Linked DNA regions of Tamandua tetradactyla. The protein of the gene in region 2 interacts with the protein of the main gene of each other region in a biochemical or structural test. Links are inferred from orthologs where the notes say so. Each region holds a gene or a part of one and is shown on either strand. Other genes may lie near its edges. The genes, in order: POU2AF1, POU2F1 and RXRA.

Region 1 (10,297 bases), on a different chromosome or scaffold from region 2:
ATGGGGAATTTAAGCACGAAAATTTACAGGACTTCTTAGTGAATTAAATGTCCAGATATTTAGCTAACAAGTGTAGGAAATTTTGATTCTTTCTTGTACTGTACAACAATACAGCTTTGCAAGTTTAAATTGAAAGAAACTTTCAAAACCTCTGACTCAGTAACTTTTGGGGCCTGGAGGGGCACAATGCTGGCATTTTTCTTTAGTTTAGGGAAAAGGAGCTAAAGAATCCTCCTTGAGAACCATTTGGTCATTGCCAATTAAATCCTTGTGTTCTTGGGAGATAAGTGCGATTTATTTCACCTCCTTCTGTGCCTTTCAATTTCTGTCTCCCTTTTGGAGCCTATTTATGCTTATCTGCAGGAACCACTACATCAGTGGATAAACTTATAAGAAGTAAAGATTCATCTTAGGCTATAGGCTAAGGCTTTCCACAGACCTAAACTATTTCTTGTTGTAAGTATGCCTAACTTTATGCAGAATACAGGATTCCAAAAATTATATGTATGTCACATTTCTCCTTACCTAAATGCAACTATAACTATCCGAAAAAAGTTGACTATTTAGTGGAATCCTAAAGTAAATCCTCAGAGCATAGTTCTATGTTAATGCTAATGAGACTTTCGAGACCCAAATTTATTTGTTTGGTGAACCTCTGTTTTGCTCAAGTTATCTGAAAGCAAAGGCACAGTTATGTCACAATAATTTGAAAATACCTCATTCCTGAACCTAAGATGCTAGATGGGTGCTATAGCAAGGACACACCAAGGCCAAGTCTTCGAGACACCATGACAATCAGCCAGTCCAAAGAAAATCAGTCAAACCTTCCTTGCATTTTCCATTAAAACTTTCCCTAAAGCAAACACCAATGATAAATGGCAAGTTTTCAATTTGTTTATTTTCTAACAAGTGGCATCAAGTTTATCACACCCAGTTTCATCACTGTTAAGGATGAAGTCAATTAAATCAATTTTCAGCATTGCGCAAATCATTTAATCAATCGATCGCAAGCTTTGCCCACCACTGGAGTTGGCATTATGCCACCCCAGGAGATTGAGTAACCTCAGGAAACGAACGCCTAAAGTATTACCCAAATCACTTTAGACCAGAGGTCGGCAAACTTTTTCCATAGAGAACCAGAAAGTAAATATCTTAATCTTTGCAGGCCGCATGGTCTCTGTTTTACCTACTCAATTCTGCCATTGTAGCAAAGCAGCTGTAGACTCTATGTAAAGGAGAGCTCTGACTGTATTCCACTGTATTTACAAAAACAGGCAGCAGGCCAGAGTTTGCAGACTCACTTCAGGCCCTTGAGAAAGCTGTTTGCATCATCCTATTGTCCAGTATATTTTTGTTGTGCCTTTATCCCTATTCCAATGAAAATGTGGCAAAGGGAGCAGATCATAATAAGCCTGCTCATTTAAGATGTGCCCACAGGAGGTTACAATGGGAAGGTGCTCGTTCACCATTATCACTACTTACCAAGAAACGTGGTCACACTCACATTCTCTACTTCAGTTCTGATAAAAGCCTTGGAAGACAGGCACTAAAGGCCCATTTCTCAGATTTTTAAGAATGTGGGAAGGTTAATGATAAACTGGCAGTGCCAGCTGTCAAATCCAGACCTGTCTCACTCTGACTCTTATTCTGTCTCTACTGCACTGTCACCTGTGGGCTTTAAAGGGGGCTTCTTGTTGGCAGGGAGGTTAGTTCTTCACAGCTACCTGCAGCCTGCAGGACAATGCAGAACCGAGGTGGGAGAGGACCTGCAGCTAGAGCCACTTCTTTGTCCAATCGGCCGATCAGGCAAATCTTGAATCCATAGTTGGGGCCTAAGATTTCCCCTTCTGGGTGCCAGCAGTTCTGAGCTGTCATGCTAATCTCTGATCTTAACCAAAGCCCATGTTCACATCTACTCTACAAACAGAGGTCATGGGCAAGGTGGGGAGGAGACAACAGATTTACAGAGTGAATGTTTTCTTAACCCTTTCCAGAACCCCAAGGTACAGTCATTTCAGCTCATGCCTCGAGGGTGTTTTCTGAAAAAAGAAAGTGCCTTTTCAGCACTCCTGGTGTCTGATTTCAAACCCTGCCCTTCCATCGGGTGATTCTAAGTGGGCTGCCGAGGCTGCCCTGCTCTTACTGGTTTTCCCACAGTGTTTAGTCATCCAGGTAACCTTGATGCCATATGCTTGGGTCAGGTTGAAGGCAAAGGGGCCAGTGCCCAAGGGCCTTCCCTGATTTTCTTTTAGTCTCCAAAGAACAATCAAAGAAAATATTGATTTTTTTCATTCATCTGAAAATGTGGGTATGTTCCTTCCAGTTATGCCATTGGTGAGTTTGGGATTGAGTCTCCCTGATGGATGGAATGTTACCTGGCCTGCCTGACCTCCAGGGTGAGATCAGGAAACACACCCTCCAACCTCCATTTGAAAAGCGCTGCTAATGTCTGAGGAGGAATTGAGGAAGAAAACAAGTACTGCATGTCCTCAAGGGGAGAACACGGCATCTCACGAACTCAAGGAAGCTACCCGTATCTCAGATACTAAAGCAGAACTAGAGCAATCAATACCACTTCAGCAACAGCTTAGCTTGCCAAGGGCAACTGTGGAATGGCTACTATTTCTACCCCCATTTTACATATGAGAAACCTAAAGAGTTAAAAAAAAAAAAAAAAAAAAAAAGAAAGAAAAAAAAGGAAAGTAACTTGTTCAGAGTAAGAAAGGAGCTGAAATAGAATTTGCTCCAGGGACTCATGCAAAACCAAACAACTCAGCTTTGAGAGTAAGGGTATTGGATTCTCAGCAGCTCCCAGGAATCCAAAGACAGTAATTCCCACATGCCCTGCTCCACACAGCACTCCCTCGGGGCTGGCTGGCATTGCCTCAGCAGGGTAGGTTCTAGTCCCATCATCCTTCCTTCTGGTAACAGTACATGCCACCCAGAGCAGAATATCCCAAACTATCTGGAAGGATTCCACAACTCTCAAATCCAAATTATTTTCTTTTTATTAAAAAAAAAAAAAGGCATCTTGGCAATATCAAACAATAAGGAGGCTTTACAGTCTGAGAAATTTTGAAATCACACCTCTGTGATTAATAAGCACAAGTCTAGAGAATTTACGCAAGAAATAAAAGAAACAATGAGTTGGTGATCGCATGATTCTAAGTCACATTAATCAATGAGGTTATTCTTTGGGGACTTAAAGGAATCTAATGGAATATCTTTTTGCAAGATAAGTAAATGCTCCCTAACATCTTTCTTTTTGTAAATCTAGATTCTCTTATTACGTTCACTTGAGTTAAGAAATACCTAAAGTGATTAAAAGAAATTTTAAAAGAAAGAGAGGATAATTGTTTGGTTTGCTTCTTCCTTGAGGAAGTCCGCCACCAAGGCTGGTGAAGGTGAGTGATGGTGAGATGGCTCTGTCACCTCCCAGAAGGAATGTTGTAGGCACTCTTGGTGTGATTTCAATTATTAATAGCACGGGGCTCACTAGATCTCTGTTCCATCCCCCATGGTGAAAATTAAAGTTCACAACTGGGCCACACAAATCCATAAAAAATTAAGGTCAACGATAAAACCACTGCCCCCTTGCACCGAACGGGAACAAGACTGACAAGAGGCAAGAGAGTGAGGTGAGTGAAGACAGGCTTCCCCACTGCCCCCCACTTATCCCTAGGGGTAAATAATGCCTTTGGCAGAAGGCTAAGCAACTCAGCTAGAAAGAGGCCCACAGAATTTTAAAAAAAACAGGCTAAAGAGTACCTGCTTATAAAAATAAAGTGTAAATAACTTCGTGCCTCTCCGCCGCCCCCAGCCCCAAACCAATATCACATTTTGCTTTTGTTCTGTGAATCATAAACTGCCTTTTCTTCACCACAGTGAATCATGCACAGAAGCGGAGGGACGATGAGCTGTCCCACCTTGGAACACTAGTTCGTTCCCCTCCAGCCTGGAAAATTAGCATCACCCTGACAGGTTGGTTTCTCCACCGGGCTCCATCTTACCCGCCTCCTCCCTCCCTGCTTCCTGGCTTGGAACTCACAACCCACGTCGCCCCCCCCCCCCCCCCCCCAATCACCACCACCATCTCTTCGCTCCCAGGCCAGCAGGTGAACCCAGACCCTCATCCGAGCTTACTTGGCTCTGAGCGACCGTGGCCAAACCACTTACATTTTTGCCAGAGCATGCTCTGTGACAGGATGTTGCCTCTTCTCTTTGAAGCAGACAGCTTGGCTTCTTTAATGTGAGACCTGGGTGTGCTTTCCTCCAGTGTAGCCACTGCTTGCTCAGAGGATGTTTCCTCGGCTTTTTAAAAGCCTGAGTTCCCGCTGCGCGGGGGCACAGCGTCATCACATCCTCCCACCGCAGGCACGGGTGCACTTTTTCTTCAGCAGCGCGGCCTGTTGCCCCACTGCGCGCCCCCTCGGGGGCCCGCTGGCTGCAGACCATGCCATGCGTGGACTGAGCAACAACTCGGCACTGGAGGCAGTGGACAGCCAGACGTGGCCAGGGTCTGATGTGACATGTGCATGAGTGTGACATTGGGTAGGAGCGTGCACTGCAGGTGTGTGTGTCAAGTCTTGTACCCCCTAGCACCAATGATGAGCCCAAAGATCTCTGAAAATCCCTGAGCTTTCCATGGTGCCTGCACAGGCAAACACACCACTAGGGTGCCAGCAAGGGCTCGGCTGGCCATGGGCACCCGCTCAACGGGAAATGCGATCCCAAGGGTCACTGGTTCTCAACACAGGAGGAAACACCTGTCATCTCTTCAAGCTTCGCTGAACAACCTCCTCATTCTTTTAATATTGCTTTTCTGTTTATCACATTTTGAAACACAGTAACTACCACCACTGCCGCCCCCAGCCACTACCAAAATGGCAAGGCTTGATCGTGCTTAAACATAGGGGACACTGGTTCTGGTGACCGATATGCATACAGAGAAAGAGGCTGACTCAGTCAAGGAAGAGAGGAGGAGACAGAAGCCCATGCTCTCTTACAGGAGCTGGTCACTCAGGTGGGACTTCCAGGCGCCATGGGGGCAGGGCCTCTCTCCTAGGGCCCACCAGTCTTCAGACTTTCTCAAAGGAAATGTGAGAAATTTAGAGCATGTGGGGTATAAGGCCACAGGGCTCCTTCCCAGTTTGGAAACTTCTGCCAGTGTCTTATCTGGAGTTCACAAACTCAGGTCCTAGTTCCCAGTAAGTTTGGGGACAAGACTACCGGGCCCCCCAGGGATTCTCTGTCCACCGCACTGCATCAAGCGATCACTGGTACCTTTTTGGTGCAACACTTTCTGACCCACCAACCCTCCTGGCCCAGAGCCCGTCTTGTGTCAGTTCTCGGGGCGCTTTGTTCATTCGCTCGCTGTGGGTTGTTGCTTGGCTGTAGGTTCCTCAAGCAGGTTTCATCTTGGCTTCTCCAGTGCCTCATCCAGGACCTGAACCGTAATTGGTCCTCAGTACAAGTTCATGCAACAACGTCACGAACTACTGTCTCTAAGGGGTTATTGGTTTCAGGGCAGATCCTGTGGGGAGATGTTGTCCACCTAAATGACCCAGTCAGAAGACTGAGAGGACTGCCCCTGCCTGAGTTATGAGGCCTCACCCCAAAGCCTTCATCCTCAACATGTGAAGGGTCCGGGGCAGCTGGCAGCACCAGGGACTTACGAGTGGCAGTGTCGCAAGGCCGTGGGCCACACTCAGGAGTTTCCACTGGGACTGGTGGCCAATCCACTAGGCCCAGCTCAGTCCCAGGAGGCCTGGGGTCCCACCGAGGCTGTGCCACATGCGGGCCAGGCCCCTTAAGCCAGCCATGTAACCCCGAGTCTCGGTTTCCTTGTTTATCAAACAAAGAAGCAGTTCTCCGAATGTCTCAGCGGGTTCTTAGGCAGGTGTGTGATCTTGCTAGCACCTCTCTCACGTTGTCTTGTCCTGTGGTTATCTCTCTTATTCTCTTCGAGTTTGATGAAATTAAGACCGTTTTCTTATTCAAATTTATTTCTCCCCACAGGCTGAGCATAATCATTTACATGTAATAATAATAATAACTAGCTTTTAAAATGCTCTCTATGCACCAAGACCAGTGTTACATTTACATACTTTATCGAATTTAGTCACCCCATCAGCTCTGTGAGGAAATTTCTATCATCATCTGTTTTTTCCAGAGAAGCAAACACATGCTTACAACATTTAATTTGCCCAGGGTTGCAGGGCCATTAGCTGAAAGCCTGGTTTTAGACCCAAGTTCGTCTGACTAGAGACTAATCTCTAAATAGTTACACTAGTAGATATTCATTAAATCGAAATCAATGAAGGCCAAATGTCAGCCTTATAAATTAGCAGATACATAGGATCGTTGATATTAGAACCTGGAGCAAATAAATACAAACTAATATCTCCTGGGAGGAATCCCTGCCCACTGGAAAGAAGGCATCGATAGAAGAAACCCAGAAGTGCTCCCAGAAATCAGATCTCTTGCAGAGGCAGAGAAAATCAAGGTTCAGAAGGCAAGTCCACCATCATGGCCAACGTTAAACCTGGTACCTCTGACAGCCTCTGAACTCAGGAAGGATATTTCGACTCAGTGCTTCCAGCAGAGACCCTGGATAGCAGGGATTTTGAAACCAAGACTTGATCAAAATGGCAAATCTTTGCGGGACTGACATTTTTAGTGACTCGAAGTCAAAACACAAACTATATAGCATGGTTCAAAAGAGACATGGTGGACATTTTTAAGCCATACCTCAAGACGTACAGGAAGAGAAAAATATTCCAGTAACCCCATCCAGATGTCTCCAAATACAGGTATGCCCCCACTTTAGAAAAACATGATATACCAAAATCACAACTCCTAAAATTAGTCATTAAAGAGCACTGATCTATATTGCAAAAAGACTCACCTTTTCACAAGGATGCACTGCAGACTTCATTTCTTCTTTCATTCAATAAATATTTGAGTGTTCATTATGCACTATTGCCTCTGCTAGGCCTTCTATTTTCTTTTCATTTTAACTTTCTTCATTCTCCTCAGTCCATGGCCCTTTATCCTTATTGGCCCATGAAATGCTCCTCTTTTATTGATTTATTTATTCATTCATTCATTCACTCACTCATTCCTTGATTCATTCACTGTCCTTGCCATTTTCCATGTCTATTCTTTTTCCTGTCCTGCCTCACCCCCATCAGATACTCACCATCAAAGATATTGCTTTCATCTGGTTGATATAGATCTCTTTGTTTTTAGACATTTGTACACATCTTGAAATGTATATTGTTTTACATGCATGTATTTTTAACTCATGTAAATGGTGTTTAATTCATGTAACTTGAATATAGAGCTTGTACTGGTTCTTATTTTTTAATTTAAAACTATGCTTCAAATTCATTCACATGGCTATACTCACACAATCTGTTATTTCTATAGGCTGCAAAGTGTTCCATGGTGTACAAGCACTGCATTTTACTTAATCAGATTGCTTCCAAACATCCTCTCTCCACAAAGCAGCAAGGAACATTCCAATATGCATCCCCTTACAGAGGTATGTGAAATTTTCCTTGGGAAATTACCGGGTCAAAGAAGATGCACATATTTAATTTGCTTATCACAACCAGAATGCTCTCCAGGACCCCATCAGCAGTTCATGAGATTTCACAAGTTACCATTTTACCACTAGGCATTGTCCAGCTTTCTAATTTTTACCAATAAAATAGATGTAAAAGATAGTTCATTGTTGTTTTCATTTATATTACTAATACTGATAAATTTGAGCATCTCTTCATATCCTTGTTAAACTTTTGGGTCTCCTTTTCTGTAAAATGCCTGTTCATATCATTTGCCAATTTCTCTTTTGGGGTTGCTGCCTTTTCCTTGTTGATTAGCAGGAGCTCTTTGTATATTCTAGATGTATAATTCTAGATATTGTCAGTTTTACTCATTATAAATATCTTCTCCTAATCTGTCATCTGTTAACTTTATTCATGGTATCCTTTCTTGAATACAAATATTTAATTTTAAAGTTTGTGTTTGGGGATTTTGTTTAAGTTTTTTTCCTCCATCTCAAGATAATAAGAACAGTCTCCTACGTTTTCTTCTATTAATTTTGGAATTTTACCTTTCCCACTTCCACTGGAGATTCCCTTTGGTGAAGTTCTAAGTATCCAGTATTATTTTTCTCCATATAGTGGGCTAATTTTCCCCATATCATCCCTTCAACAAACCTTCTTTTCCCCCATTGATTTGTAGGGCTGCATCTATATATACATGTGCCTATCCCCAAACTCTGCTTTATTTTATTGGTCTCATTAATTTTCACTATTATTTACTGTAGTACATCTTAAAATTTTAGAATAACTTTATCAAGTTCTTTTAAAAAATCCAACTGGAACTTTGGGATTTCAATGAGTTTATAGAGTTAGCAAGAATCAATATTCATAATATTAATATGGTTCAGCTAAGCATGGGATAGCTCTCCATCTAATCAGATCACATTCCATGTTCATTATGATTAGACTTTCAATTTTTTCTCCATGGGAATCTATTGCTTTCTTGGATAAATTAATTCCTAATTACTTTATAGTCTCTGTTGGCATTGTGAACGTCTCTTACTTTCTATTATATTTTCTAGCCAGTTATTGATTCCACAGGGAAAAAAATTAATATTTTTGAGTTGACCTTATTTCTAGCATGCTTGCTAAACTCTCATATTTATTCCCATAGTTTGTTGATTATGATGGTCTTTCTAGGTAAATGATCATCTCTTCTGACGATAATGATTGCTTTATCTTTTCCCTTCCAATCCTACATCTCTAATTTCTTTACTTTCCTTTTAGTTCTGGCCACTGCTGTGCTTAACAGCAATGGTGATAGTGATTATCCTTGTTTTGTCCTTGTCTTGAAGATAGAATGAAAACAAATTCCAAGAATTACCAAAAAAAAAAAAATGATGAAAGATCTTACATTGGAAAGGGTTCATGGACAAACAAGAGAGACAAGGAAACACTGACATGTGGACACATTATAGTGAAATTCAAAAACAACTAAGACAGAGGAAATTCTAAAAGTTTACCGAGAGGAAGAATATATTAACAACTAAGGGACAAGAATCCCATTGACATCACACTTATCAACAGAAATATTGGATGCAAGAAGATAATGAAGAAATTTTTTAAAGTAATGAAGAAAAAGACTGTTGACCCTAAAATTGCAAATCCAACCAAGCTATCATTCAATATCATAGCATAACAAAAACATCCTCAGACATACAAGTCTCATGTTAAAATTGCTTTTGGAGGAAGCTTTCAAATAAGAACAGTAAACCAGGAGGTGCTGCAAGAAATATGGAACAAAAGGTGATCAAGTAGCTGGGTAAAATAATTACAGGAGTTTTCTTAAAACTGGGAGAAAAGAAAAAATATAGACAGAACAACCCATAATTAAATATCAACATGATTGCACAAGTCCTGGAACACTGTTTACATTATATTCTAATTAATTTGTGGAGGTGGGTAATGTGTGACCTTAGGGAAGAGCAAGATGAAGTAAAATTCACTAATTGTTTTTTATAAAAGGAAAATATAGCTATTGATAAATTTAGGAAATCAATAGGGGAAATAATAAAAGCAAATCCATTAGCATGGATCTGTTGTTAGGGGAAACTACCAAAAGAATAAAAGCAAAATGTTTAATTTTAAAACCAGCAGAAGAGAACTGGATCTTTCCAATGGAGAACAGGAAGGGGAATTTTTAAAAATCCAGTCCATGAAAAATAGAAATAAGATGAAAAGATAAATTCTACCAGTGTAGTAGCTATAGTAAAGGTCAAGTTCGCCAATTAAAAGACACAGATATAATTACAAAAATGTCATTTTATCAATTACCACAAGTGTACCCCACCAATGCAAGATGTTAATAATAGGGTGGTATATGGGAACTCTGCACTTTGTGTATGATTTTTTCTGTAAACTTATAATTTCTCTAATACACCTATACAAAGGCTAGGGGAAGGGGAATGGGGAGTTATTGCTTAATTAGTAGAGCTTCTGTTTAAGGGTGATGAAAAACTAGGAAAAAGGTAGCGGTATTGGTTGTACAGCATTGTTGATGATATTAATGCCACTGACTTGTACACTTAAATTGATTAAATGAGAAAATGTTACATTGTATATATTTTGCCACAATACATTTTACGAAAAATTTAAAAAATACGACATGTTGCCTCTTAGATCCAGTTAAAACAAAAAATTGCGAGGTTTTGCAAATAAAAGGCTTGTGTAATATTGATCCCAAAACT
Region 2 (10,030 bases):
CTTTATTCATTGAAACAGGTTCTAAGGCAAACAATTTCTTCTTTAGCTAGGGCCATGTTCAGATTAAGTTAAGAAATTCAGTTTCCTATAGGAGTTTGGGGTTCACAAAGAACCCATCTAAAATAAGCATGCGTAAGGATTACTTCTACCGTTATACTTATTTATAACCCAAGTCTCCATCTGTGAATATGGGAAAATGCACTTCTACAATGACACAGAAAGCCAGCCAAAATAAAAGGCCTGTTAACAATCCCCACTCTTTTCTGTATCACAAAAATTATAACAGTGAAATTTTGTTTGTAAAGTGCACTGTACATTTTATCATCTTGGATAAAATATCTACAGCCTCCATAGTGGTTAAATTGAAGCTATAAAGGAAATTGTCCTGAGATAAATGGTTTCCCTGTGAGAAGGTTTCACTGCTACACTTCACCTCAGGACCATAAATCAAATTAACTGCACCTTGTCCTCTGTCCAATGACATCATCAGCTTGACCACATCTTGGGAATCTGGTGCAAACACACATGCTATTTAAGGCATGAAATCATATTACTTCTTTTGGTCCATCTGACCTCATGCTTCAGGTCTCTGAAGCAGTCATTCACCTGAACATTCTCATGGAAGCCACAGATTTTTTTTTCCTGCTGTATTCTGGGTCTTCCTACTGGGGATGAAAGACGAAAAATGGTGAGAACTGCTATTTGAAATTGGCTTATTTTTAGTGGATCAAATCTATAATTTTGTTAAAAATTAAGCTGAAGACCCCACAAAATAAATAAGCTGAAGTCCCACAAAATATGTAGCTCTCAAAGGACCATAAAGTACCTTAACAGAATTTCAAAGACTTAACATTATTAGTGTCAAACAATGGTCCGGTACTTCCCTTCACCAGCAGAGGTAAACAATTACCAATGAGAAGCAATACTATTTTTCAGAAAAACACACTTAAAACTATGCAAGACAAAAATGAAACCTTAACCAAGGTAAAGGCCAAAAATCAAGATTATTACTTTCTCTAAACAGTAGAAGTTAATCTGTCTTTCACAGACCAACCATCCTAAATCTAGCTAAAACATAAAATCAATTCTGACAACTTAAAGAAAAGGCGCCAGTATGCTGGGAGGGAAATACATTCCAAGATAAAGGTAGGCCCAACGCCTGTGTTTATTATTCTATTTTCACAAATTTAACCATGATACAAAACTCAAAGAAAACAGAATCCCATTTTTGTTTTCAGTAGTGATACAATTAAAATAAGCAAGTCAATGACAATCATAGTAGGAAATTAGTATCAGCCCCCATCTCAAATGGGAATGAAGAGTGAAGAGGCTGGAAAGGGAACACAGCACTGAGAAATTAGTAAAGTGCTGTTTAAGTGGAACTTCTATAATAGTTAGCTATTCCATGAATCCTAGAAAAGACAGTATTGGTTTTACAAATACTGCAGACCTTTGCAAAGCCTGAAAGTGTTTAACTTAGGGGTCAGGAGGGTGGGACTATCTCCCAAACAAAGTGACTTATTTGTACTAAACCAAAATAGATTTCATAAGCTCCTGAAAATGAGAAATAAGAGTTTTTTTTCTTTAGGCCTAATATTACTGCAAACCGTAAGAAAGTCTTTTTTAAGAGAAAACAAACCAGCAGAGTTGATGCTTAGCTAGGAGCTGTTTTAATGCTGGTAAGGCCCCAAGAGGGTTTGTTTTGCCCGCGGAGGTGGGGTATGTGTGTGGCAGTTGGTGGGGGAGAGTCATTTTAGTTATTAGTAAATAAATCAAGCGGCAGAAAACGTGAGGCCTAGGCAACCGCTAGAGGAGGCCAGGCCTAGACTTCCCCTTCTTTTCGCAGCACAGCCTGGGTTTGATCTCAGAGCCCCGTGGACTGCCAAGGAAGAAAAAAAAAAAAAAAAAGAATCATATCGAACCACAAAAGCACATGGGGCGAATGTAAAATATAAACACGGCGTTGGGCTGTGAGTGGCTGTTATTAAAGGTCTGAATTACTAAACATGAGAGGCGGGGAAAGCCAGGCGGCCATTTCAATAATATAAACCTCCCCGAATTAGACATTATTCAAATGAGAGAGGTTCGGCTAAGCAGAGAGTAGAGAGGACCCAGCATCCAGCAAGAAAACACCAGCACAGAAGCAGGGAGGAGGACCCCCGTCCCTACCCACCGACTCACCAGGACAGGGGAAGTCAAGATTATCGACTGGTCAGGCCAGCCTGGGGCAGGAGCAGGAGGGCAACCCTTTATAAGCGAGTTCTCAGGTGGCCTCTGGACGTTTCTGGGCCGCGGGACAAGAAGCCCCCCAGGGTCCCCGTCTCCCCACCCCCATGCTGAGGGGCAGGGGAAAAGATCTGGATCAGTCAACGCCAGTCACCTCCAACCCAAGTCCCCCGCGAAACCACGGCGGACAGGAGGCAAAGGGCTTTTTTCGGACCGACGGCTGCTGCTGACCCATGGTCCCGGGCACACAGAGCGGCCCTGGAGAACATCCCCACTCCAAGGGAACTTTCCCGGAGCGTCCCATTCCAACCCAGTCCAAATCCGTGGGGACGAAGCGGACCCCTACGCGGACTCCCCACCCCCGCCGACCCAAGGCGACCTCGCAGCGCCCACGACCCCTCCCCCCCACCTACAGCGCAGGCCTGGCTCGAGTCAGGCCGCCACATGGGGGGCGAGTGGGGCGCGGCCGAAGTGCCCGGGGCCGTGACCCCCGGGCTCAGCCTCGCTCCGACCCGGACACAGAGGCAAAGTGCGGGCGAAGCGTTCTCCCCGGGCGCACCCACGGCCGCCCTCCAGGCCGTCCCCCCACGCTGAGGGCCGAGAACCACCCCCCGCCGGGGGTGGGGGGCACGCGTGCTGCTGTTCGGCTGCCGGGGTCCGCTCCGGCCCCGCCGCCTGCTCGGCATTGTGCTCGCCGCCACCTCCATCCCTCTCCACGCCCCCCCACCCCGCGCCCGCCCGGCCCCGGTGGCCCGGTCGCCCGCCCGCCCGCGCCCCGCCGCGCCCCGCCGGCCCAGCAGCTATGAATATGTAAAGTGTCTTTATTGTCCTCCCTCTGCCCCGGCCCCGCGGCCCCGTTCGGGTTCGGGGACCGCGGCGAGAAGGCGGCGGCGGCGGCAGCGGCGGCGGCGGAGGAGGAGGGCCGGTGCCCGCGGGCGGGCGAGCCTGCGGCAGGGTGGGCCGGGGGCAGGAGGAGGGCGGTAGATCGCAGCCCCCTTTGCCCCTTGTCTTCCCCCTCTCCTCCGCCTGGCCTCTCCGAGCCTCTTTCCCCCTCCGCTCGGCGCCCGGCGGGGGCTCCGTGCTCCCCGGCCCCCCATCTCCTCGCCGTTAATTATAATAATCCTGAGTACTAATAAATTATGCTAAGTCGCGGGGGGGGGCAGCGGGAGCCTGGGTTGAGTATGAATATGAATATGTAAAATGCTGTAATGATTACCTGCTGCTGCTGCCGCCGCGGCTGAACTCTCATCTTGACTCGCTGCTCCTCCGTCCGCCATTTTGAATATTTTAACCAAAATCGCCCGGTCGATAAGCCCTCCCTCGCTCCAGCTCCCCTCCCCCCTCCCGCCCTCTTCGCCTCCTCCCTCTTCTCCGCCCCCTCCCGCTCCTTGCTCTCCTGGGTGCACGCCAGGGGGCGCGCGAGGCCGGCCCTCCTCACCGCCCGCCCCCTTGGAAGGACCCCTGCCCTTTGCGTTCTGCGCACGCGCCTCCGGGCCGCGGTGTCTCTCCGGTAGTTGAAGCGCCTTCAATTTGCCCGTAGCCCCGCTGCTTCATCTTCTGTCTCGACCTCGCGCATGCGCAACTTTCTCCACGCGCCTGAAATGCGGTCAGCGCATGCGCTACGTCTCCGTGCCTCGCTTAAGGGTAACCCGACTGTGAGCTGTGGAGGTCGAAGGGTTACCTTATACTTCTCTCTCCTCCCGCCCTGTCCGTCTGTCGGCTTTGCTCCGACTTCCAACAGTTGCCAATGGCATGCGAAAGACGGGCAGAGGGGGCACAGCGGCCGAGAGTAGGGAAATGCATGGAGGGTTCGTGGACGGACCAGCGCCTGTGTCCCTTTTCCCGGTGCAATTTTTAAGGCTTTCCGTGCTGTTGAAACACTGACAGCAATGAAAGGGCTGCTTTCGGGCTCGGTAATTTCCGGCCCTGTGGACAGGTAGGGCGGAAACGCCCGTGGGGGCTGGGGCCGCTGAGCCGGGCTGGAAGCACCTGTTGAGCCTCGCGCCGGCGGCCCGCTTTAAATTTGAATCCGAAATAATCCCCGCCCCTAACTCTGCGAACGCTGGAGACCCGGTCTCGAGTAACTCGAAGGTTAGAGTCCTGTGGTCTTTTTTAATTAGCCTCAAATCTCTTCTGCTCTATTTGTTTCTAACACCGGGCAGCCTTGCTCTGTAGCGGGCCTCTTATTAAGTCGCCAATTTCCGCCCTTCCCTTTGGCTTTCAAGCCCCGCAAACGCCGCGTACGGGATCGAAACAAATAGCAGACCTCCTAGTCTGCGCAGAGTTTTTCTCCCTTTCCTTTCGATTTTAGAAACATCTTTTAAACCTAGCAGTAAGCTGAAAACTGATGACTTAGTAAAAACAACGAAATCAGCAGTAGCTTAATCATGGATTTTGCTTTGCTGTGTTTTTTTCAGAGTAAATATGACGGTGGAGAAAGGTTTTCTGTTGTAAATATCTTTTTTATGAGTCAAATTGTTGCTAAGATTTATCTTTAGTGTTAAAAGTGCCCTTGGACCAAGACCCGAGTCGAATTATTTTTCGAATTCTTAAAGCCCTCGGATTTTCTAGCTGCGTTTTATTTTTGTTTTAAATAACAACTATATATATATATACGTCGAAGAAAGCCAAGTAAAAGATAATTCATCCCTATTTAGTATGTCTTGAGGAGAGAGAGGTGACTAAAGTTTAAATCGGGTAGAATTGCAGGTTCTACAATGAAGGAAAACTAATCTCTGAATGAGAGCCAGCAGTTACTTTAACGGCTAAAATTTTAATTATGAGTCCTAGCCTGCTCAATGAATTCCTCACACTGTGCAAATACAGTTCAAGTTATTGTCAGCGACAGCCAATGAATTGGGGTGGGATTGATTTATTCATGGTAATTAAGCCTTAGGGTGTGCTGGACTATTTGAACCAAATAATTGGACCACCCTTAATCTAATTATTTCAAGCACGCCAACTAACAGGCAGTTAAGGAAATGCAAAATTTAATCATGTTACAATTAATCTGGGAATACGGCCTAAATTATATTCACTAGCATTATTATAGGGTTAGTCTCAGAATCACCAACCTTGTTTGAAACAAAGTTGAGTACTTGTCCCTGCTCTGTGGGCAATGAATTTGAAATCATCACTAAGAAAAAGAACTCAAATGCCTTTATTTAAATTCCTCTCCTCTATTTAATCTTTGTTTTGCTCTTTGGGTAGAAAAGTAAATTAATATGGCTTTCAGAAAGTCATTGAAACTAGTGAATATGCTATTCATTCTTTACTAGTTCATTTCCATAACAGAAAAATTTCGTGGAATGAATTTTTATTTAAGGAAGGATAGCTCTGTGAGAAAAATAGTTTAAAATAGTCTGTATCAATGTTTCATTTTCCTCTTAATGAAAATATCTGTGTTTGCCTTGTACAATGCCTGGTACATAGTAGGTGCTCATAAATATTTATTGAATTTAAATATAATGGATATGCAATTATAAGTGTTGGGATTATTTTAAAAGTTGATGAAGTCACTAATTCAAGTAATATTGATGAACATCTGCATTCTGTTCCGAACCTCACTAGGTGCTAAGGATCGGGAAATGAGGAAAATACTTCTTTAACCTCAGCAAAGTCACAGGCTAGTTAAATAAAATTATTATATAATATGCACTTTACGTATATCAATTCCTTTATCAATACTCGCAATACCCAGAGAAGTAGATAATCTTTTTATCAAAATTTTCCAACATGCAAAAACTGAGGCATAGAGATGTTAATAACTTGTTCAGTGGCACACCAGTATTAAACAAACAGTAGAGCTGAACTCAAACACAGGCCTTAAAGGTAAAGATAAATGGATAAACAGAGGTGGTACATTCATACCATGGAATATTACTCAGCAATACAAACGAATGAGCTGTCAATACAAGCAATAACTTCAATGAATCACAAAGGCATTATGCTGAGAGAAAGAAGCCAGTCACAAGAGCTTGCATATTGTATAATTCCGTTTGTATAACATTCTTGAAAAGATAAAACGGTAGTGATGGAAAATGTCAGTTGTTGACGGGGTAGTGGTGGGAGAAGGTCTGACCATATGGAGTAGGAAGGTAGGACGTTTTGAGGGTGATGGAATTGTTCTGAACCCTGATTATGGAGGATGTATGGATTAAAACGTGTTAAAATCCATAAACAAAGTTAATTTTACCGTATGATACATTACAAAATAAAATTAAATATACAAACATGCTCTGAACAGAAGTACTAGAGAGAGGCGTGTTCGTTATTTCTGCCTGGATGGACTGGAGGGAAGGAAGTGAAGTCTTCCAGTAAGTGGCTTCTGGGTATAGTTAATTTGACCTTGTGGAGAAGAGTATTCTGGGGATGAAGAATAGCACATGGACAGGTTTGAAGAAATGAAATAGCACGGTGTGTTTCTCATAGTGGCAGCAACTGCTGGTTACCTACTCAAAATCCATCCCTTCCATTAGTAGCAGTGGTAATACTTCAGTGTGTCTTCTAAAGTGCAACATGCGAGTATCCCTTACTGTTAGATATGGTCATGTGACTAAATTTTGGCTCAGTTCTAAGGAGTTCTTGGGTGGGATTTCTGGTAGCGCTCTCAAATGGAGTATGTTCAGTTCTTCTTCCATTTTCCTTCCTGCTGCTTGGACAGAGATATGAGGACTGAAATTCCTGAAGCATTCTTGGGCCATGAAGTGATGTTGTTCTTAACAGACATCACGCTTGAGAGACCAGAACATGTTAGGAGGGACGAGCAGATCAGATCTTCTCTGGCTAAAAAGAAGCCTGGTACTGAGACTGAGCATGGCACAGCCTTCCTTGCACTAAAGCTAACTATTGGTGCTGCCACATAGTTGCATTAAAGACTAAGGAATCCAGACTCTGGGAAATGTATTTTAATTGCCCTGGGTAACTAAATTTAAAATCCTCATTTTTAATAAACCTCTTCCACTATTTCACATGTTCATGAAAGTTGACTTTCCGATATAGCAAGTCAATTTGTTTAGTGATTTAAAAACTAATTTATCTTACAGCAGAGGCCTTCAAATCACGTTCCATGAAGCCCTTAGGTTCAATTTTTTTTTTTTTTTAAACAGGGCCTATCTTAAGGTAGAGTGAAAACCAAGCCCCTCCACCTGCTCTTCAGCCAGAATGGCTCTGCTTGACCTATATTGGAGTTCAAGATTTTCACTGCTTAAAGTAGATAGACTATAGATACTTCCTTGAAGAAAAGCAAGCTTGGCAACAGTAATCTTTAAGAAGTTTTCAAGATAAAATGATCATAAGCATTGGATATGAAATAGTGAGACTATGATCCCCTTTTTTGTCCATGTCTTACAGTGTACCCAGAAGCTTTTCCAAGAAAGATTTTGATCCTGTGTCAGATATTCCCATGGTCCTCCTTCTCCTTAGGCAAATGGAGAGGACCCTATTAAAGGAATGAATGCATCCTGTTGCTATGTCTTAACGTTAATTAAGGGATGTCAAATTCACTTTTGCTGACTGCTGCAACTTATGTATCTACACTTAAAATACACAGTGTAGAATATTTGTAATTCTCAGAAAGTGTATACTGAAATTTATTTACAATTCAATACTTATCAAAAACACCTATCAATAACACTTAAGAACTATCTGATGGGTACATAGCCCATTTCCCACTCTACTTCAGGGTCAGCAAATACATGACACTCCACTAATTGCTACTATACTTTCCAAGCCCGTGTTCTACTTGTTTAATCCGTAGTCTGTTTTTTTCTTTTTTTATGTTTATTTTAGTAACATGTATAATGTAAAAATTCTCCTTTTAATCACATTCAGATATTTAATTCAGTGGTGTTAATTACATTCACAATATGTGCCACGACCAGCACTATCCATTATCACAACTTTTCCATCATCCCCAAACAGAAGTTCTCTACGAACTAAGCTTTAACTCCTCATTCCCTGGCCTTATCCAGGCCCTGGTAACTTATATTCTAGTTTCTTAATCTATGAATTTGCTTATAATAATCATTTCATATACATGAGATCATATAATATTTGTACTTTTGTGTCTGGCTTACTTTATTCAACATGGTATCTTCAAAATTAATCCATGTTGTCACATGTATCAAACCTCATTCACTTTCATGGCCACATAATATTCCATTGCATGTATGGACCACATTTTACTTATCCATTCATCAGTTGCTATAAACTAGGTTTGCTTCCATTTTTTGGCAATCGTGAAAAATGCCACTAGGAACATTGGTATGAAAATATCTGTTTGAGTCCCTGCTTTCAAATCTTTTGAGTATATACCTAGAATTGGGATTATGGGGTCATTCAGTAATTCTGTACTTAACTTTCTAAAGAAACACCAAAAGTGGTTTCTTATCACTTAACATATCCCACAACAAGAAATGAGTGTTCCTCTTTCTCTACATCCTCTCCAATACGTGATATCTCTTTAACATTAGCCACTCCAATGGATGAGAAGTGGTATCACACTGCGTTTTGATTTGCATTATCCTAATAACTAAGATTTTGAGCATTTTTTCACATGCTTTTTGGCCATTTCTATCTCTTCTTTTGGAGAAATGTCTGTTCAAATCTTTTGACCATTTTTTGATTGGCTTCTTTATCTTTTTTTAATGTTGTGTTATAGGATTTCTTTACAGATTCTCGAAATTGAACTTTGGTCAGATATGTGTTTCCAAATATTTTCTCCCATTCTTTAGGGTGTCACTTTGCTTTCTTGATGAAGTCCATTGAAGTTCAAAAATTTTAAATTTGATGAGGTCCCATTTATATATTTTTTCTTTTATTGCTTATGCTTTGGGTGTAAAGTCTAAGAAACCATTTCTTAACACAAAATCTTGAAGATGTTTCCCTACATTTTTTTTGTAGGATTTTTATGATCCTGGTTCTTTTATTTAGATCTTTGATATATTTTGAGTTCACTTATGTATATGGTGTGAAAAAGGGGTCCCCCTTCAATCTTTTGCATATGGATATCCAGTTTTCCCAGCAATATTTGTTGAAAAGATTATTCTTTCCCAATTGAGTGTACTTGGAACCCTTGTCAAAAACCAGTTAGGGCCTTCCAGGAAAGTAGCCGAATAGAGTAGCTTGAGATTAGCCCTGCCCCATGGAAAAGTTAGAGAAGGGACAGAAGGGGGACTGAGGTGGTGATTCAGGAGTGCGGCTGACCTGGGAGAGCCTTCTGCACTGCATGAGACAGTCCTGGTTGCAGAGGCTGAGGAACTGAGAGGCTGAAGAACTGAGAGATAGAAAGCTGGAGCCTGGTACAGAGGCAGAGCCCGCGGGAGTGCACAGACAGAAGCCGGGGACTAGGAAGAAGCCAGGCTGTGTTCCTTGGGCACGCTACTCTCACCAGCACAGCCTCATGATCAGCGACTCACCCCACACCCCACGCACCTGAACCCCGTCACCCACTCCCACTCTCTGTGCTCCAGGTGCTCCCACCCCACCAGCCCCCAGTACACATTCCTACCCCACCCCCACCCCAAATGCAGTCCAACCCAACTCTCCTGCACCCCTCCCAGGCACTACCTTCCTGTTCCCTGCAGGCTATTGCCAGCACATAAAGGCTGTGGGCACTAACCTCCATACCCAGGCTACCCCTGCCCCCTGCCCATAGTGTCGCATAACCTCACCCTGCACCCCCACCCCAAGCTCTGTGCATCAGTCTATGGCTCACATATGCACACGGGCCCCCAATTACGTCATTCAGCTCTGGGAACCACACTTTACAGAAGTCCTATAACTGCGCATGTGCATGGCCCTC
Region 3 (10,639 bases), on a different chromosome or scaffold from region 2:
GGGGATGTCACACACTTCTATAGTGGTGGGTAAAGGAGCTCTACTCAGGGGGTCCCAGCTCCCTTTTCCCTGCCCTCCCAACCCCAGCAACCCCCAAGAAACCTCCAGGCCCCCGAGCGGGGCAGGTGGGCAGCTTGACAGCGTATCTTGATGGAAGGAACAGCCAGGATGGAAGCAAAACAACCCAGCAAAACAAAAATCCACCCCCAAAGCCAGCCCAGCCCACACCCTGGGGCCTTCTTATCTGCATCTCCAGGGCCCTGTTGTAATCCTGGGTCCTGGGCTTTTGGTGAAACGCTGATGGGCAGATATGTGCCTGGGCCCAGCTGTCTGGGGCAGTCGAACAGGTTTGGTTCCTACTGGGTGGAGCAGGCTTTCCCTCTTCCCAGGAGGAGAAACCCGGGCAGGGTTCATGGCAGGGAGGGCCCCCATACTGCCTGCCACTCCCCTGTGGATGAGACTAAGGAGCAGCTTGTAGCTGCTCTGACTAGGGAGAAGTGACAGCAGGGAGGAACTAGAGGAGTTAGAGGACCTTCCAAGAGCTGGGCACCATGGGGTGTGGGTGCACAGACTGACTTGGATGCAGGAGGCCCTGGGCTGCAGTGAGGTGTGGCCCCAGGTGGGCTTTCTCAAACAGGTCCTTACTGCCTGCGCACCTACCCGCTGGCTGGCTCCTCTGGGCCATCCTGGAGTCTCAGCACCTCTCCCAGGTCAGAGTAGAGCCGCTGAATTCCGCCTGGCCCTGCTGGGCATCCTGTCCAGGGGGTGGGCATGATCCTGAGCTGTGCCCAAGGCTAGGCAGACTGTCACCAGCCCCTTTCAGGCAGGAGGCATTGAGGGCACAGGTTGTAGTGGGGGTGAGAAGTTAAGAAATGGGCAGCTGCAGTCCAGGGCCAAAGGGCTAGAGTGGAGCTGGAGGGTAGGCTTCCTGGAAGAGGCAGCAGCCTGTGGGTTCTAGATAAGGGAACAGAAGGAGGAAAAGCATGTGCAAAGGCCCAGAGGTGAGAGAGAATGGGATGCCTCTGGAGAAGTTCTGGGGTTCAGCATGGGGCATGGGAGTCGTGAACTGAAACTGGTCTGGTCTGTGATGGCCTGGGCAGCAGGTTCTGTATGGTGTCTGCATGTGACCTTGTGGTTGATGGGGAGCATGGATGTGTTGTGAGCAGGTGTTGATTGGGCTGGTTTCAAGGAACCCGCCAGCCTTTGGTCTGGATGCTGCCATAGTTGACCAGTGCTGCTCCCTACCCACTGCTTTCCCTCTCCCAGTCTCCCCCTCCCCGGTTGTCAGCTGGATGGGGCAGGGCTGATAGGCAGATCCTCTGGGCAGGCCTGGGCCAGGGCTGGGGCCTAGTGGGGCTGAGCAGCTGTCTTAGGCATGTTTGCAGGTAGGAGGTGGGCCGTGCATGTGGATGGGTGGGGACTGCAGGCAGACAACATTCTCTGTGAAGGGGGAAAGATGTTGGGGTCCCAGAATTCCCCCAGAGTCCAGTGGAAAGGAAGAGATGGGCAACTCGGAAAGGACAAGTTGGAAACAACTGAGAGACTCATACCCCGGGGGGGTCTTCCATCGAACCTTGAACTCCCCTCCCCGTTCCCACTTCTTGGCACACTCTTTGGTAGAGGCCCCCCTCAGTTCAGGGAGCGGTTACTGAGAACCTCCTGGGCAGGTGCCAGGTGGAATGGGCGCAGGAGAAGTCTGAGGCAAGGCCCCAGAGACCCAGACCTGCAGCTGAGAAGTTGGGGACCAGTGCTGCAGTGTGGACAGCTGAGGCTGGCAGAACACCTGGAAGCAGCTTTGACTGTGATGTGTAAAGAGAGGGAGCCAAGGTGGTCCTGCTGGGGGTGAGGGTTGGGGATCCCCTGCCTGCAACCAGGGGCACTTTGGAGTAGAATTCAAAAGCCACTCATCTCACAGTACAGCTGGGGAAACTGAGGCCCAGAGCAGCACCTGCATTTGAGCAGGGGCTCCTTCTCCTGACTGTCTGTCTGATGGACCCACTATGGGAGGCCTGGCCAAGACGGCTGGGTGTCTCGGAGGGGGCTGCCCTGGGCTCCCAGGTGCCGGAGCTCAGTGCTGTTCCCTGGCAATCTTGAGCTAATTAATTACTGCATGAGCAGGCACTGTGTGTCAGGGGTTGAGGGGGCTAGGAGCAGGGGTGGGCAGCCCTGCATCCCAGGGAGGTGGCTGACCCCAAGTGGGAGGGCTGGATTGCATTCTCTGGAACTTGTCTGAGAAAGAGCCCCTCTCCCAGGTTCTACTCTAAATCCCCAAAGCCCAGGAATCATCTGGGGCTGGGAGCCAGGAGAGCAAGGGGTCTGGAGCCAGGCATGGGTGAGGTGGCAGCAGGTATCCCTTCCCCAATGCCAGGCTACCTGCCCCCTGAACCCCGCCCAGCGTGGTCTGACCCTACCTGTCCTGAAGTCTCCAGGAGCACACTGCCTGGCCCCTGGGCCCTCCTGCTGGGTTCCCCCTGGGGCCTGTTGGAAAAGAAGGCTTGGCTCTGGAAGGGGGTTTGGGATGTGATCTGGGTGGGCTGGGGAGGGACTCCCTCAACTGGGGAGGGGGTTCAGATCCAGGCAAGCACGGTGTACAGGATAATTAGCAAGTGCTCATGCTGGCTGCGGGCTGGGGTTTTCTGTGTATTGGATGGTCTCTGCTTGCCGAGAGGTGCCCGTTTTACCGTAGAGGAGGCCAACTGAGCCCCAGCGATAACTCTGCCCTGTGCCGGGCCGGGGTCTCAGAGCTGGGCCCATGTGCGTCACTTTGGAGGGCCGGCCGCCTGAGCCCCTGTGGGCTGCAGATGTTGCTTGTGGTTGGAGAGGGAGCAGCTGTCCCTTCCCTGCAGCCACCCCCATGTGTCACGGGCCTGGCTTTCCCCGTGGCCAGAGCCTTGCGGGCTCCTCCGCCCAGTGGTGTTGGCAGATGTCCTGCAGTTGGACCCCAGCTTATCGTGCCCAGCTCTGAGGTCCTGGGTGAGCCCTGTTTGCACCCAGGGCCTCAGTTTACCTTTCTGAAGGTGTGGCATCATGGGTCGGGGTGGGTCCACGCTGGTGGCACTGGCTCTATGTCCAGTGCCCTAGAGGTGAGTGCCAGCACTGCAGTGATTCGCCTCCTCCCTGGGTGGGATTGAGTGGGCCATGGGCCCTTCCCTAGGTGGAGGATAAATCGGGGATAGGGACTGCTAAGAGAGGACTGTTGGCCGGAATGTCCATGTCTTGGGGTCCCTGGGCATGTGGGCTGCCCCGGGCAGGGCTGAGTCCTTGGGAGCCTCCACCTGGGCTGGGAGGGGGTGGTCCTGGGCCCAATGCTGTGCCTGTGGCTGGAGGGAGGGCACCCAAGCCTGAGGGTGGCAGGGCCATGGGGGAGGGGGGCTGATGTAGAGTGGGGATCCCCGTCTGGTCCCAGACCCATCCAGTGGCTGTCAGCACCCTGGGGTGAGCCCCATTTCCCCCCCCCGCAACCCAGGGTCTGGGAGCCCTTCTCTGTGGTCAGGGACTCAGGGGGTTTCCTGAGCCACCTGCGTCCAGGGGTGCCCTCATGCCACAGGCAGCAGGGTAGCACTTGCAGCCCACCGCAGGGGTGCTAGGCAGGCTTTTCTGTGAGCGCTGAGGACGTTGGGTTGGCACCTGTGTGCTGTCTGAGGGCAGGGGCGCCCGACGTTTTGTGTCTCTCGCCGTTTTAGCCATTTGGAAAACATAAGAGGCTTCTCTGAGCACTTTACAGCTAGAAAAAGAAAAACAACCCTCGAGGAGAATGGCTCCTACCTCAAGGGAGCAGGGGGTTTTGTTGGAGCCACAGATCACCAACACTCAGTTTCTTTCTGTTCCCTAAATCTGAAGGTGAATTAAGGCATCTCACTTGAACTGTTGAGGTCAAAATTGCTCTGACTGTGAAGTTCAGGCGTTAAAGGAGATGGTCCAGAAGCGATGGGAAGGCAAGGTGTGTGTTCACAGTTGGGGCTTTTGGGTGGTGGTCAGGTGGACGCAGGGCTGCTGCCACTTCAGGGAGCACTGCCTCTTCAGGGAGCACTGCCTCTTCAGGGAGCACTACCTCTGTGCCCACATGCTGGGATGGACCAGCCGACAGGCCTGAGGAGGGGTATAGGGTCAGCACCTCAAAAGGTGGTAACGGAAATAGCCCTTTCCTGGGCACCCAGCTGTGCAGGTGGCCTGGCAACCATTCCTGGGCATGGCTCGGACAGGTCAGGTCAGGGTTTTGGTGGGACCCCCTCCCCCAATGCCTGGAGCCCCTCTGGACTCTCAGGTCTGCTGCCTGGTCCTGGCACCTGAAGTGGAAAGTGCTGTAGCTGTGGACAGAGGTAGGTCAGCTCAGGCTGGGTTGTGCCAGGCAGAGGGTGGCAGCCATGGCACAGTGGGAGTTTAGGGAAGACAATTTGAGGGGCTAGCTTTGTCCAACCCTGCCCCATGCTGGCATGCAGCTGCCAGGGAACACCTGGGCCTCAACGTTGGGTTGTGGGAGGAAGGAGTGTGGGGTGAGATGTCCAAGGCTGGGTGGGCCTCCCCGGCCCTGGCTTGGGGTCCCAGCCTTTGAGCATCCTCCATCAGGACCCTGAATCTCTGCCTCTTCTTCCACCCACCTTCCCTGATACATTTGAGGACACTGCCCCAGCCAGGAAGGGGCAGGCCTCCCGCGTCTGGGGGCATCTCCCAAGGTAGAGAATGGAATCTTCGGTGGCGAACGTGGGCAGCGCTGGGGACTGAGAAGGTGGACTGACCAGGGGCCTCCAGAGAGCACCTGATGCGGTCCCACCCCCATAGTCTGCTGCGCCTGGGCCGAATGCTCTCCAGGTCCCCTCTGTACCCTCTGTCGGAGCCCAGGCCAGGGAGACATTTGGGGTCTGGGTGTGGGGTGTAGGGACAGAGCAGACCCCTGCCTTGGCTGGTGGAGTTGGCAGACCCACCTGCTTGCAGGACACATCCTGGGGGAAGGCCGAGTGTTCTTGCGGCCTTGGCTGGCCCATGGGCCGTGGCTGGGCCGGCCGAGACCCCCTTCCCCTCGGTGGCCCCCCAGTGCACTGTGCATGGGAGCCAGTGATCAGGTCGGGTGTGTGGACTGGGGCCACCGGGCCACCCTCAGCCATCATGAGAAGGGCCCATTTGAGACCAATTTGCTGTCCCTTGCAGGCCGTAGAGCCCTCACCAGGGGACGCTGTGAGGGGCTGGGCTGGGCCAGGCAGGTCAAGGGGTGTCATTAGACACTCCCTGCAGGGGCGAGGAGACGTATCAGCTGGAAGAAATACCCGACATCCCCCTCTCCACTCTCATGCCCCTTCCCCCCTCTATCCTGGGTTGAACCTGACCTAGGGCGTCCTGGCTGGAGAGGGCTGCCTGGGGAAGTGAGCTCTAGGAGATTCTGCTTTGCCAGAACCTTCGTGGACCATGGGGGTGTCCATGGCCCATCTGCACCCCACCCCTTTTGGGGGATACTGTTGACATTGTTAGGCATGGCTCATGCCAGGCCCAGCTGTGGGAGATGCTCCCAGGACCCCCTTGGGAGCCCCCTGGGTGGCAGGGCCTTGGGGTGGTGTGCTTGCAGCTGTGCTGGCGCCATGGAGGAGAGGCTGGGCCTGGGAGGCGTCTCTGCACAGCCACTGGCTGGGTGGGTGGCCTCCCCGGGGGGTGTGCTCATGGCCTCCAGGGGGAAGGGCTCATTTTCCTCTCTGCCGTGGCCCCCCCTCTTGGGTCCAGGTCCACTGGGCCTTGGCATGGGCTCAGGAATTCCAGGCTATCTCAGCCCCTTCCAGCTTCCTCAGCAGGGCGCAGAGCTGCTTCTGTCCTCGCGGCCCCATCTGGAAAGCGTTAACACCGTGTCAGCGGCAGAGGGCCGGCAGTGGCGGGCTCCTGGGGGAGCGGAAGCCGCCTCCTCCCCAGCACACCCCCCGCAGCCACTCCTGCCCTCGGCTCCATCCCCAGTGAGTTTGTGGAGGCCAGGCCTGTGGCCAGCAGGGTGGGGCTTGAGGCTGGGGAGGGGCGGGTAGGCTGGGGGGAGCTGGTAGGGTTGAACGTGCTGGGGGAAGGGTGAGAGGTCTGGGGAAGGGGCAGACCCTGGTGGCGGAGGGGGAGGGGCACACCCCTCCCCCATGGGGCTTCTAGGGGCTTGTCCTTGAGGGGCCTTTGAAGCCTGCCACCTTCTAGCTACAGCCGGCCCACGCATATTCCTGGTGCCCACATGTCCCTCCAGTGGGAGACACGAATGGGGGACCCACATCCACTCTCTGGCTCCCCTCCCTTACCTGCCTCAGCTCCTGGCCCCATCCAGCCCATTCTGGGCAGCCAGAGCTGGTTCCCAGGCCTTTGTGCTGACCCTGCAGGAACGGCCTCATTCGGCTGATGACACTTGTTAGTGTGGCCTTCTGGACATTCCAGCCCTGGGACGTCCCTGCCTACCCCACGTGACCGGCCATCAGACAAACACTGCTGGGCTCATGGTGAAGCTGTGCCTTCCTCTCTGGTGCCACCTGCTCGGCCGGGACACCAGGCTGCAGATAGGCCTTGGGCTCCTGTGGCCGCTGGGAACCTGGCTGCAGTAGGCGCGGGAGCAGGGGACAGGCGTCCCCAACTGAAGCCTAGCGGTCCTGGGGCTGCAGCACGTACCTTTAGGCTGTTTTTCCCTCCATCTCCCCCAAGCTGGTGAGGGACCTGCAGCCCCATCATCACTTCATTGTCACTCTAAAGGGCCCGTGGTGCTCATTCCCACGAAAGGGCACTCGGTAAACAGCTTGGGGGTCTCTGAGCCCCATCCCCTTGGAGTAGCTTTCCCTGCTGGCAGAGTCCACCCTGTGCCATCAGGGCTCTGCTGGTGCCTGGCTGAGCTGTGGGAGAACTTAGCCAGGTGCCCAGGGAAAGGTACTGGTCTAATGGAAGAAGGGCAGCCAGGCTGCAGTGAGAATATCCTTCTTGCTGTCCCCACTTTGGGGACCTGTGGGGCTCAGGTGGCAGAGGGCTCCGAGGAGCTGGCTGTCCTGCTTTCACTAAGAAGCCGGTGGTGTCGTCCTGCATTCGACAGGTACACATGGGTGTGTGAACATTTTCATGCCTGCACACATGTGTGTGAGACAGTCAGGCAGAAGTAAAGACAGACAGACAAATGGAGACAGAGTTCCAGAGCCCTGGAGCAGCCCCTGGGCCTGCTGGCTGCCTCTGTGCTGTGGTCAAGACTGCGCCTTCCTGCCTGACCAGGTGGCTGGGGACAGCGAGGTGACCCAGGCCTTGCCGCCTCGTTCCTGTCCCACGTGCTGACATGGAGGCGTGGGCTCCTTGCAGAACTTCCCATGCAGGACTCTCACGCCTGGTTCATGGCTGCTGCTCACCCTGGCTCCCAGGCTCCCTTGGCTGGTAGGCCCAGCCCTGGTATTGCAGATGGACTCTGGGTGCTGCCTTTGTACCTGTGAGGAACCTGCCCTCGCCTGTGCCCATCCTCAAGGACGGGGGTCCATCCCCGAGCCGTGGGCAGCAGGGAGCTGGGAGGTGCCATACCAGGGCCAGCCTCACCCTTCCCATGGCAGCTGGCAGGGGAGGTGGCAGTGGCCCTTTCCCAGGAGCTGCTGCATGTCAAAACCGGTCCCTGACGCAGCCCATGGTGTTGAAATAAGAGCTCGCAGGTTTCCCAACATCCTGTCTTCCGGTCACAGGACCGGGTGTCAGGCGGCCCTCGTGGGGTCCAGGCACCCACTTCCCTCCCTGGGACTCCGTTTCCTCATCGGGTGAGTGAGAGGAGGTCACCCCTCCCTCACGGCTGCTGAGCACACAGGCGGAGGGCATGACGTTTGGCAAGGTGACATCACTCCGGGTCCATGTCATCTTATAACGTCCCCATTTGACAGTGGGGGAGACTGAGGCTCAGTTGCTTGCCTTGGAGTGGAGGGGCGGGATTTGAACGCAGGTGTTTCTGTCCTCTTTTTCTCCTCCCACGAGGAAGAGAAGAGGGGAAGAGGTGGGTGGGGTGTCTGGCTGACATGGGAAGGGCAGTGGCCCTGTGCCCAGCACCCTGCCCTGTCTGAGGGCCAGCCTGGGGTCTGACCTTGGCTGCCCTGAACTGGACCTATAGGCCCTTTGCTGGGCTGGCCACCCTTCTTGAGGTGGGACCTGGGGAGCCTCGGGCAGCCCCAGTGAGCATCTCTGTCCCTTTGGCTGCAGTGGGCCTGGCCTGTGAGTGGGCAGGGAGAGTGGCTGCTGTGGGGGTGAAGTACAGTTGTGGTCCCTTGTTCCAGATAGTGGCTCTAGGGGATACACTGGGGCCCTCCCCTAACCTGGGTGGGTGTTCTTGGGTCTGCTGTTCAGGGGAGGAGATGGAGGTGCAGAGAGACTGAGTGACCAGCCTGGGGACACACGGCTGACAGGCAGGGTCTACTGCTGGACAGTGCAGTCCTACTCTCTGAATTCTGTCTCGGACATGGGAAGAGAGGACACAGTGGAGCGTTATGCACTCAGGGTGGATTCTGTCTGCTGTTCTGTGCTCTGTGACCTAAGCCTGTCTCCCAGCCTCTCTGATCCCTTAGGGGCCTTTGTGGGCTGGGCATGGAGATGGTTGACAGTTCTGAAATCCTGCTCTGTCGGCAAAGGGGCAGTGCGGGAGGCTGGGGAGGGGCGCAGGAGCCGACCCGACCCCAGCCCGATGCCCTGCCAGGCGGGGCCTGGGATTCTACGAACCCTTGTGGTCAGACCTCACCCAGCTGTGGCGTCTGCCTGTCGCCTGTCAGCAGGGGAGGGGCCCCGGGCCGTCTCTTATGGAGGAGGAAGTAGGTGCCCAGAGAGGGCAAGGGGCTTGGCCTGGGCCGCACAGCAAGGCGCCGCAGAGCTGGGGGCAGCACAGAGAGGTGGTCGCCGGGAGACCTGGCCTGGGGAGGTGGATGTGGCGCTCTGGTAAGGTACAGACTGCCGGGGGCAGGGTGGGAGGAGACGTGGGTTCTAGCCTGTGGTCTGTGGCAAGTTTAGCCTGGGCTAGGATGGCAGTCGTGGTAAGGATGGTGCTGACCAGGGTAGCTCTACTTGATTGAGCATGTGCTGTGCCAAGAACCGTGGCCTGTGCCGCCTGCACAGGGGCATCTGTGAGCCCCTCTCCCAAAAGAGGTGGCATCCCTTGGTCTTCATGCTTCTCAGTCAGGAGGTGGCAATGGGCTGGGGCCCTGGGCCACAGCTGGACAACTGCCCGCGTGTTGAAGGTGTCTGCAGGCCTCTTCCCATGTCTTGCCAGACACTGGAGCCCATGGTGTTATACCCGGAGGGAGGTATATGGTGCCTCCTCCAGGAAGCCCTCCTCCATGGTGCCCCTGGAGAGCGCCTCCTCCTCCTGCCCTACTGGGGGGTGGGCCCCTTGCGTTCTTAGAAGAGACCGCTGCCGACCCGCGACTGGGTGTGCCCTGGGCAGGGCCCAACCTGCAGACTGCCTGTTCCCGGTCCAGGGGGCGTGGGGGGAGCAGGCGTCCTCTTACCCAGCGTCTCTGTGCCGGCCGTGTGTGCAGTGTGGCCATCTGTGGTCTCGGTCGATCCTCACAGCCTCTGGGAGCTGTGAGCACTGTCTCCTTTCAGAGTGAGGATGCCGCGAGCCCACGAGGCTGAGTCAGCCGCTCCGGCCCCGCCCAGCCCCGAGCTGGGCAGCCGGAACTGGCACCCGCCTGCCCGGTGGCCGAGGAGGGCTGGTGCCATGGCCACTTGTCCACTTGTCCAAAGAGCCGGCTGGCCCTTTGCAGTGATTGAGGGCCGCTCACTCAGGGTGGGCCGGCCAAGCACCAGGGCTCTGGGGCCCCCAGTTCCAAGAGGAGCATCTGGGGGGGTCTCTTCCTCCTTCCTTCGTGGCCCCTCCCTCATCTCAGTATGTTGAGTTCCAAGGAAGTGTAGCTGTTTCCGTGGACACTAAGAATATGGTCCGGAGCTTCTTGAGCTGCCGGGGGCAATGAGCTTAGGGCAGGGAAGTGGGTACCCGGGTTGCACGGCAAGGCCGCAGCTGTGAGGCATTTGAATCAGTCTTCTGCCTCACAGCCACTTCCTTCTTCTGCAGAAGAGGAAATAAAGGCTCAGAGAGGCCGTTACACCTGCTCAAGGCTACACAGCATGTCAGTGCCTGGGTGACTACTTGGGCCCTGTTACAAACCGGTGCTCGCTCAGCTGCTTCCTAAGGGTGTGTCAGTCCTGCAGCCTTGTCCTGGCCCATTCCTGGCGTTCCTCCCCCTACCCCATCCTCTCTTCACTAGGTCTTTATTTGGCACCTGCTATGTGCTAGGCTCTGGACTGAACACCGGGGATGTCACTATGAGCCTGCCCTCAGGAGCCTTTGGCTAGGTAGGAAGAGGCCCCTACCTGGCTGGGAGGATCAAGGAAGGCTTCTTGGAGGAGGTGTTGTCTAAATGGAGCCTGGAGGACTGAGTTGGAATGAGCGGCCAGGAGGAGGGTGGGGGAGTTGGAGGCCAAAGGAAGGGCATGTCCAAGGCTAGAGGCGAGAGTGCCTAGTGTGTTCTTGGAAATGACCCAGTTCCCAAGGCAGAGGCAGAGAGTGGGCAGGGCCGGGGCACCACAGAGGGGTGTGAGTGGAGGAGGGACCGTGCTTCAGGAATAGACCAGGGTGGGTGGTGGCTGCTGGCCTTGCTGTCTGGTGGGTCCCAGGAATCTTATCTCCCGTATT

What was found.
Region 1: the proteins of POU2F1 (region 2) and POU2AF1 are reported together in a solved structure, tested with the Homo sapiens proteins (2 studies listed by BioGRID, with this or other methods). The link is inferred for Tamandua tetradactyla from reciprocal best matches to the Homo sapiens genes POU2F1 and POU2AF1.
Region 3: the proteins of POU2F1 (region 2) and RXRA form a complex in vitro, tested with the Homo sapiens proteins (2 studies listed by BioGRID). The link is inferred for Tamandua tetradactyla from reciprocal best matches to the Homo sapiens genes POU2F1 and RXRA.

Annotation. Positions count from the first base shown.
Region 1 is NC_135334.1:30,070,412-30,080,708, reverse strand, and holds the start of POU2AF1 (POU domain class 2-associating factor 1), read right to left. Parts: upstream 4,327-10,297; 5' UTR 4,193-4,326; coding exon 4,177-4,192; intron 1-4,176. UniProt on the Homo sapiens protein: Transcriptional coactivator that specifically associates with either POU2F1/OCT1 or POU2F2/OCT2. It boosts the POU2F1/OCT1 mediated promoter activity and to a lesser extent, that of POU2F2/OCT2. It recognizes the POU domains of POU2F1/OCT1 and POU2F2/OCT2.
Region 2 is NC_135330.1:20,605,253-20,615,282, reverse strand, and holds the start of POU2F1 (POU domain, class 2, transcription factor 1), read right to left. Parts: upstream 3,923-10,030; 5' UTR 3,504-3,922; coding exon 3,443-3,503; intron 1-3,442. UniProt on the Homo sapiens protein: Transcription factor that binds to the octamer motif (5'-ATTTGCAT-3') and activates the promoters of the genes for some small nuclear RNAs (snRNA) and of genes such as those for histone H2B and immunoglobulins.
Region 3 is NC_135328.1:13,492,863-13,503,501, forward strand, and holds the start of RXRA (retinoic acid receptor RXR-alpha), read left to right. Parts: upstream 1-6,055; 5' UTR 6,056-8,747; coding exon 8,748-8,883; exon of another isoform or gene 8,884-8,888; intron 8,889-10,639. UniProt on the Homo sapiens protein: Receptor for retinoic acid that acts as a transcription factor.